Macaca mulatta: one gene and its partner. The protein of the gene in region 1 purifies or fractionates together with the protein of each later gene. This does not show direct contact. Links are inferred from orthologs where the notes say so. Each region holds a gene or a part of one and is shown on either strand. Other genes may lie near its edges.

Region 1 (3,809 bases):
GCCAGGCTGGTCTTGAACTCCTGACCTCAGGTAATCCGCCCACCTCGGCCTCCCAAAGTGCTGGGATTACAGGTGTGAGCCACACTGCACCTGGCCGCTGTCCCTATTCTTTAATCACATTTCTCCTCCTCTGCTCCAGTCTGTCTGTTATCTCTCTTGTGCCCCATCATTTGTATGTTCATTCATTTGTAAATTTGGCAAATATGCATTGACTGCAGACCATATGTCCTGCCCGGTGCTTGGACCTGAGGGTAATATTCAACTAGTCTTTGTCATTGTCCCTTTCCCCAAGGAACTTAAAAATATGTCAGCCTCACATGAGGAACACTGAAATAACAAGGCAATGTCTGATTAGGAATTGAGATAGCAGTTTGTATATATGAGTAATAATCATACCTGTACTTTATGGCTTTCTTATCTATTGTCATTTGATCTTTCAACCATTTTATTAGGTAGCTAGAGTAGGTGGTATCCTCATTTTGTAGATGAAGAAACTGGGACTTAGGGGTTACTTACCCAATTATTTGGCTAGAAGTGGTGTGACTGAACAGTAGGCATAATGTGGTTAGGTAGGGAGGACAGTGGAAATGGGAAAGAGCCTGGCAAGGCAGGGGCTACTTGGTGAGGACCCATCTGGAATGAGAATTTGTAGGAAATAAGATTAGAAGATAGGCTGGGACAGATGTCAGAGCCTTGAAAACAGAATCATTTGCCTACTGAAAACAGCCTCAATCATTTGCCTCTTGGATACAGGGCTGTAGCAAGCCCAGGAAAATGTTGGGATTTTTTGAAGGCTTTACCGAGAGCAAAATCAGAAAGCTTCACGGTTTAAATGCTGAATTAAAAAAAAAAAAAAAAAAAAAGACTTGAGAGGAAATGCCCAGAAATAAATATAAACACTGATTGTCTGTGGGTGAGATGGTTTTTTTCCCCCTTTCACCTTTCACAATTAGAAAGAAAAATGATCATTTTAAAAAGAAGAAAGGCCACAAGCGGTAGCTCACGCCTCTAATCCCAGCACTTTGGGAGACCGAGGCAGGCAGATCACCTGAGGTCAGGAGTTCAAGACCAGCCTGGCTAACATGGTGAAACCCCATCTCTACTAAAAATACAAAAAAAAAAAAAAAATGTGCCAGGCATGGTAGTGGACGCCTGTAATCCCAGCTACTTGGGAGGCTGAGGCAGGAGAATTGCTTGAACACAGGAGGCGGAGTTTGCAGTGAGCCAAGACTGCGCGTCACTGCACTCTAGCTTGGACAACAAAGAATGAAACTCTATCTCAAAAAAAAATAAATAAATAATAAAAATAAAAATAAGAAAGTTATCCCCAGCAGTCTATGCCTGTTTTGGAGGTAGGGGATTGGGGGTGGAGGCTGTAGGCCAGGAAACCATAAACGGTCCTTTCAGCACCTCAGACAGAAGCTCCTGATGTTGGAAGTAAAGCAGTGGTGGTGGCACTAGAGAGATAAGGAGAGATCAGAAAGCCCCTTCTGAGGAGAAAAAAGGAGAGAAACAAAGCCACTCCTACACTTTAGCTGGGGTGACTGGGAAGATGAAGGGACCTTGAACTGTACAGAAATCAAGAGGAAGAGAGATTTGAAAGCAGATGTCCTTGGGACATTTAATGGGAGGTCACAGAGACAGGCAGGTGACAGCCTGTGAACAACTGCCCACCTGCCCCCTTCCACTCACATTGCCTCTTGCTCCTCAGGTACCTGCAGTGGTGGTACCGGAAGACCCAGGTGGAAAAGAAGACACCTTTCATCGACATGATCAATTCTGTACCCCTAAGACAGATTTATGGTGAGCCTCACCCCATCTGTGCTCTGCTCAGAAAAGGCCCAGCCTCCAGGTCTACCACAGTTAGGCAGAGGCTTCCAGTTTATGCAAATTGCACTGTTCCATTCCCTAGGTTTTCAGAAGAACCAGGCTTTATAGTCTAGAAAGTTAGAAATATGCTTATTTTCCTCTCCCAATACCCCACTAACCATCCTGATTTCTCTAGGTTGTCCCTTGGGTGGCATCGGGGGAGGCACTATTACCCGTGGCTGGAGAGGCCAGTTCTGTCGTTGGCAGCTTAACCCTGGAATGTATCAGCACCGGACAGTCATCGCTGACCAAGTAAGAGCCAGGAGGTGGAGAGGCCAGGACAGTACCTCCCCAGGCCAAGAAGGAAGGACCTCTTGGCTAGTGTAGGAGGTAGCAGTTAGATGTGAATATGATTCAATCCAGTAAGTACTCTCAGGATGCTTCCTGTGTGCCCAGCCGTGTGCTAGGATATACTGTAGGAATAAGACACACACAGAGCACACATTCCTTGAAAGAGTAAACAGACTTGGCATTTCTCTAGCAAATGCCTCCTGTCTACCTCACTGGCCCAACCCAACTAGCTGAGGCAGCCCCCAACTACAAAGAATGCAGAGAATTCCCAAATCACTTAACCTGGCTAAAAGAACATTTGGTAGGACTGGAAGGGAGAAGAAAACCCAAAGTCTATAAACTCATGGGAAAAAAAGACATGTAGTACAAGGTTCCTCACCCTGATTGAGGAACCTTCACCAAAGTTCAGCTCCTCTGCTGATCACTTCCCTGGAGGTCTCTCTGGCTTAGGATCTAAAAAGCTCCTTCTCTCCCGGGCTTAGATCTCTAGCCTTCTTCCCTCTTCTGAAGCTTCACTTTTTTCCTTTTGCTCCTGCATCACATCTGGGCCTTAAATTGCCAGAAGTATGTGGCCTGCCTTTCATCATATCTCTAGTTGACCACCCCTTTAGAGTTGTCTAGGAAGTTCCTCTTTCCTGGCTCCAGCATTCAGCCTCATCTTCAAAGGAAAAATGACTAGCAAATCTTTAGTCCAATTAATGACAATGCCCTTCCTGGTTCAGGTTTACCAGCCCTGCCCATGTTCCAAGATCCCTCTCTGCCTCATCCCTTAGGTATCCTGAGGGGAATGGCTTCTAGAATTGTGACTCTACAATTAAAGTAATTATTGCATGCTTAACATGTGCTAGACACTGTTCTAGGCTCTTTGTATACTGTTTAATACTAAAAACAATCCTACAAGGGAAGTACCACTATTATGCTCATTTTGCAGATGAGGACACTAAGATCCAGAGAGGTTTAGTAACATGCGCAAGGTCACAAGGTTGGTAAATGGAAAGGTTGGGATTCAGAACCATTTCTTTCTGTGGTGAAGAGCTTGTGGTCTTAACCATTATGTACCATTCCAACAAAATGAAAAAGTATTTTATATAGTTGTCCCTCAGTATCCATTGGGGGTTGGGCCCAGGACCCACTATCCGAGGATGCTCAGTCTTTGATTTGAAGTGGCATATAGTATTTGCAAATAACCATTGCACATCCTCCTATATACTTTAAATCATCTGTAGATTACTTATAATACCTCATACATTGTTACATAAACCCTTGTCATACCGTACAAGAAATAAAGTGTGTGCATATTCGGTACAGATGCAACTTTTTTTCCGCATATTTTAGATTTGGTTGGTTGAATCCACTGATGCGGAACTCACAGATACGGAGAGCCGACTGTATACAATAAAAATATTTGGCATAGTTTGAACCAGGGAAAGGGATATTAATCCCTCATAGCTCCTACCCTCCAAGAGCTAAAACTTTTTTTGAGAAAACAAGACTTAGGGGAAATGGAGACAGAGACCACATCAGTGCTAAAAGAAGAGGGGTGGATAGTATACTGCGGAAAAAGGGACGGCGCTGCAGATTTCACTCATTCCCTCCACATACACACCAACTCTGAAGAATGGTGCATCAGTGAATTAGAAAATGTACCT
Region 2 (4,298 bases), on another chromosome or scaffold:
TATTTTTATTTTTTTGAGACGGAGTCTCACTCTGTCGCCCAGGCTGGAGTGCAGTGGTGTGATCTCGGCTCACTGCAAGCTCTGCCTCCCGGTTCAGGCCATTCTCCTGCCGCAGCCTCCTGAGTAGCTGGGACTACAGGCGCCCACCAACGTGCCCGGCTAATTTTTTGTATTTTTAGTAGAGACGGGGTTTCACCGTGGTCTCCATCTCCTGACCTCGTGATCCGCCCGCCTCAGCCTCCCAATGTGCTGGTATTACAGGTGTGAGATACCACACCTGGTCGGTTTTTTTTTTTTTTTTTTTTTTGAGAGACAGGGTCTCACTTTTTGGCCCCAGCTGGTCTCAAATTCCTGGCCTCAAGCGATCCTCCTGCCTTGGCCTCCCAAAGTGCTGGGATTACATGGGCCACCATGCCAGGCTCATTTCCCTTTTTAAAAAAGTCACTTGTCCTCTGTGTATATTTGTTTCAGGGACTGTTGATTTGTTTCAGTCTTCGGCTGAGAAGGTTTTTGGACATTTCTCTAGTGACAATCTTTCTTTATCTGGGGAGAGATAGGACACATAATTAGTCTTGGAGCGTGTTAAAGCTTTGTCTCCCAAGAAAGAATTTACATCTATTACAACATCTTTCTCTCTCTCTCTGGAAAACTGTATCCTTGCTACTAAGACTTTTTTTTTTTTTTTTTTTTAAGCTTTACAGAAAAGCTGAAACAAAACATTTACTGAAACAAAAAGATTAACACTGGTTCATTACTATTAACTCAACTCCAGACTTTATTTGGATTTCACTAGCTTTATCCGCAAATTTGTCCTTTTCTTGATTCCTGGATCCAGTCCAGGGTACTATATTTAATTTACTTGTCACATCTCCTTTCCTGCCTCTGGTCTGTGGCAGTGCCTCAGTCTTTCTTTGTTTTTCATGACCTTGACAGTTTTAGAGAGGCCTGGTTAGGCATTTTATAGAATGTGACTCAATTTGAGTTCCTTTGCTTGCTACTATATTATATAAAAAATATACACATATATATCGCATATTCATTTATAGTGTGGAAAACATACATAACATAAAATTTACCATTTTAAGTATTATTATTTTGTGAGACACGGTTTGCTCTGTCGCCCAGGCTAGAGTGCAGTGGTACATACAGCCCCGCTGGTGTGGAAAGCGAGCTGTGTTCGGACGGCCTGAACCTACGGGATTACATTGTTTGACCAATGGAAGGCTGCGGAAGGTGGGCCCCCAAAGGTCTGGGATCCTGAAGCCGCCGGGGGGCGTGGCCTCCAGGTTTAAAAAAAATAAAATGGGTGTGAGGCCTGCAGTGCGAGCCAATGAAAGGCGAGGGGAGGCGGGGTCTGTGCGCCAGGCGGCCAGTAGAGGCAAGGCTCTTTCGGGTGGCCCCGGAGCGTGGCTCCGACTGTGCGCATGCGCATCGGGCCGGACTACGGGGCGCCGCTGAGCCAAGTGGGCGACCCGGGCAAGGACGGGCTCCCGGGTCACGTGACACGGAGCTGGCCGAATTCTGCAGGAGGCAACGCCATAGCCTAGAGGTGAAAGTGCATAGCCTCGGGGGTCGAGCTGGTGTGGGAGAACTACATCCTGATGCGATGTGACCTCGACCCGTAGCCCGGGGTCTGGGTCCAGGCTCGGGCCCGTGCGCTCTCTAAGGGAGAGGCGTGGCTTGCGTGGAGGGTCGCGCCAGCTAACCTGGGGGCGTGACCTCGTGCCTCTTGGTGACGTACCGTGGGGCGGGCTCACTCCTGGGGCTGAGTTTTGGGGTCCCGTTGTGGAAAGAGGACGGGCTTCTGCCTGTCCACTGACAGGTAGGTAAGTGGAAGATAACTCTGTGGTGCTGTCGTCGCCGCTTTGACCTGTGGTGGCTAGTTTGGGTGGGAGTGGTGGTGACATAAAGGATGGGGGCTAGGCCCGCGAGGGGCGTGACCTTGTCACAGAGAGGCGTGGCTTCACTCCGAGCCTAGGCGCACAAAGGGCGTGGGCTGGCAGGGTTGGGGGCGTGGCCGCACAGAAACTGGCGGCAAGGGGCGTGGTCCTGAATCCGGGCTGGGAGAGGGGGCGCGATTTCTTCCGGATAGGTTCCCTGTCGCGCCCAAATCTGGGAAGTGCCCTTTCTCTCTTAGGTGCCACCTCATGGAGACCCCCGCGGCCGCCGCCCCTGCCGGGAGCTTATTTCCCTCCTTCCTGCTCCTGGCCTGCGGGACGCTGGTGGCCGCCTTGCTAGGCGCCGCGCACCGCCTGGGGCTCTTCTATCAGCTGCTGCACAAGGTGCGGGACATAGAATGGGAGGTGGGCTGGGGGCAGTCAAAGAGGGAGGGACCTCGTGGTGCTGCTTCCAGCTCACTCATTGCGCAGGGTGGGAAAGCGAGCCCCGACTAGTCCAGAGGGACTGGTAAGAGGCTGTGTCCAGGGCCCCGTCTCCATTGCCACGCTGCGTATGGGGGCCTGGACTTTGCCACTAGTGAGAGACAATATGGAAGCTGCCGCTGCCCGGGCACTTGCACCCCACCTACCTCCTTCCCCAGTGACTCTTTTCACAGAACAGATGGACAGCACCCCTAAACTGGATGGGATAAATGCGGCAGAGGGCAGGCACCAGCAAGGGGGTGGCAGTGAGTTTCATAACAGTTGCCCTCTGCTGACAGTACTGTAGACTTTCTTATCTACCCGTTAACCTTTTCCTTGAAAGTAGGTGCTGTTCTTTCTGCCTCATTTTCTGCAAGAGGAAGCTGAGGCTCAGAGAGATTGTGTGGTGGTTTGCCCTAGGTGACATGTTTGGAAAGAGCTGACCCCACAGGCTTCCCCCGAACTCCTTGCACCTGTTTGAAATTTACCCCTTCCTCAGACTTCCTTCTTAACCCTTTCTCTCCTAGCAGGGACCAAGCTTGACCTCTCCCTCCCCAAACCCTTCTCTGATCCTTCCTCTGCTAGCCAAGAGTCATGCCACTGACCTTCAGGACTTGCAGAGATTTAAAGCAAGCCTTGGATGTGTAGGGCTGTGAGGCAGCTGGAGTTGGGAGGCCTCGGCACAGTCTATGCCAGCAGCTCACTCCTATGCCAGGCACATGGTGGCTGGCAGCCTGTCAACTAAGCCCTGGGCCTGTTTAGCGTCTATCAGGAGGGTATCAGGGAGGCTGGAATCAGGAGCCCAGCTGCCAGGCCCTGCAGGGATACTGGAGGACAGTCAGGAGTCACAGCAGATGGCTCCCTGGCAAACTCCCTGGGTTATATAACCGTCTCCTCTCTCCCTGATTGCCCTGCCATCCTGGAGACAGGCAGTGTAACAGTGGGGCACTTAAGAGCGTGGGTTCTATTGGACTTTCATTCTTACTTGGGTAAGTCTTGATGTCCTCAGCTTAAGAGGGATGTAGTGACAAGAGGATCTGATAAGATGTTATGCCTTGCTTTGAGCCTGGTGTGTAGTATAATATATGCCTAACCAAGACCAAGCTTCTCTTGACCTCTCACCCTGCTCCTGCCCCCTTACCTGGGGCAGGGTGATTGCCCCCTTTCCCAGCTGCCCTCTGCCCTGACCTTTAACTTTATTGCTCCACCTGTCCTTGGGCCCAGGTGGACAAGGCAAGCGTCCGGCATGGTGGAGAGAACGTGGCCGCTGTGCTGAGGGCCCATGGCGTGCGGTTCATCTTCACGCTGGTCGGTGGGCACATTTCCCCACTGCTGGTGGCCTGTGAGAAACTGGGCATCCGTGTGGTGGACACACGCCATGAGGTCACGGCCGTCTTTGCTGCTGATGCTATGGCCCGCCTGTCCGGTGAGAGCATTGCGGAGAGGGCTGGGGATTGGTTGGACTGTGGGATACAGTGTCTGTGAGGGTTGGGGTTTTTCAGAGGTGGGAGAATGGCCAAGAGAGTGGGCATGGCTGTGATGGGCTCTGTGTTCCAGGAACGGTGGGTGTGGCGGCAGTGACAGCAGGCCCTGGCCTCACTAACACAGTGACGGCGGTGAAGAATGCTCAGATGGCTCAGTCCCCAGTCCTGCTTCTGGGTGGGGCCGCCAGTACTCTGCTGCAGGTACCCAGTCCTTGGGGGCTGGTGGGGGCCTAGGTGGGGCTTAAAGGGCTCATGTGGTAACCCTACCACACCTCTGTCTTTGCCAGAACCGGGGTGCGCTCCAGGCCATTGATCAGCTGTCCCTTTTCCGGCCACTCTGTAAGTTCTGTGCGTCTGTGCGGAGGGTGAGGGACATCGTGCCCACCCTGAGGGCTGCGATGGCTGCTGCCCAGTCGGGCACCCCAGGTAGGTGGAGGATGGTGATGCTGAGCAG

Evidence for each region.
Region 2: the proteins of GBA2 (region 1) and ILVBL purify together in Homo sapiens (co-immunoprecipitation; 3 studies listed by BioGRID and IntAct, counting the BioPlex papers as one, with this or other methods). This does not show direct contact. The link is inferred for Macaca mulatta from reciprocal best matches to the Homo sapiens genes GBA2 and HACL2.

The regions. Positions count from the first base shown.
Region 1 is NC_133420.1:63,950,716-63,954,524, forward strand, and holds part of GBA2 (non-lysosomal glucosylceramidase), read left to right. Parts: intron 1-85; exon of another isoform or gene 86-984; intron 985-1,711; coding exon 1,712-1,803; intron 1,804-2,005; coding exon 2,006-2,121; intron 2,122-3,809. UniProt on the Homo sapiens protein: Non-lysosomal glucosylceramidase that catalyzes the hydrolysis of glucosylceramides/GlcCers (such as beta-D-glucosyl-(1<->1')-N-acylsphing-4-enine) to free glucose and ceramides (such as N-acylsphing-4-enine).
Region 2 is NC_133424.1:15,710,205-15,714,502, reverse strand, and holds the start of ILVBL (2-hydroxyacyl-CoA lyase 2), read left to right. Parts: upstream 1-1,436; 5' UTR 1,437-1,549; exon of another isoform or gene 1,550-1,826; intron 1,827-2,137; 5' UTR 2,138-2,147; coding exon 2,148-2,282; intron 2,283-3,584; coding exon 3,585-3,786; intron 3,787-3,917; coding exon 3,918-4,045; intron 4,046-4,131; coding exon 4,132-4,270; intron 4,271-4,298. UniProt on the Homo sapiens protein: Endoplasmic reticulum 2-OH acyl-CoA lyase involved in the cleavage (C1 removal) reaction in the fatty acid alpha-oxydation in a thiamine pyrophosphate (TPP)-dependent manner. Involved in the phytosphingosine degradation pathway.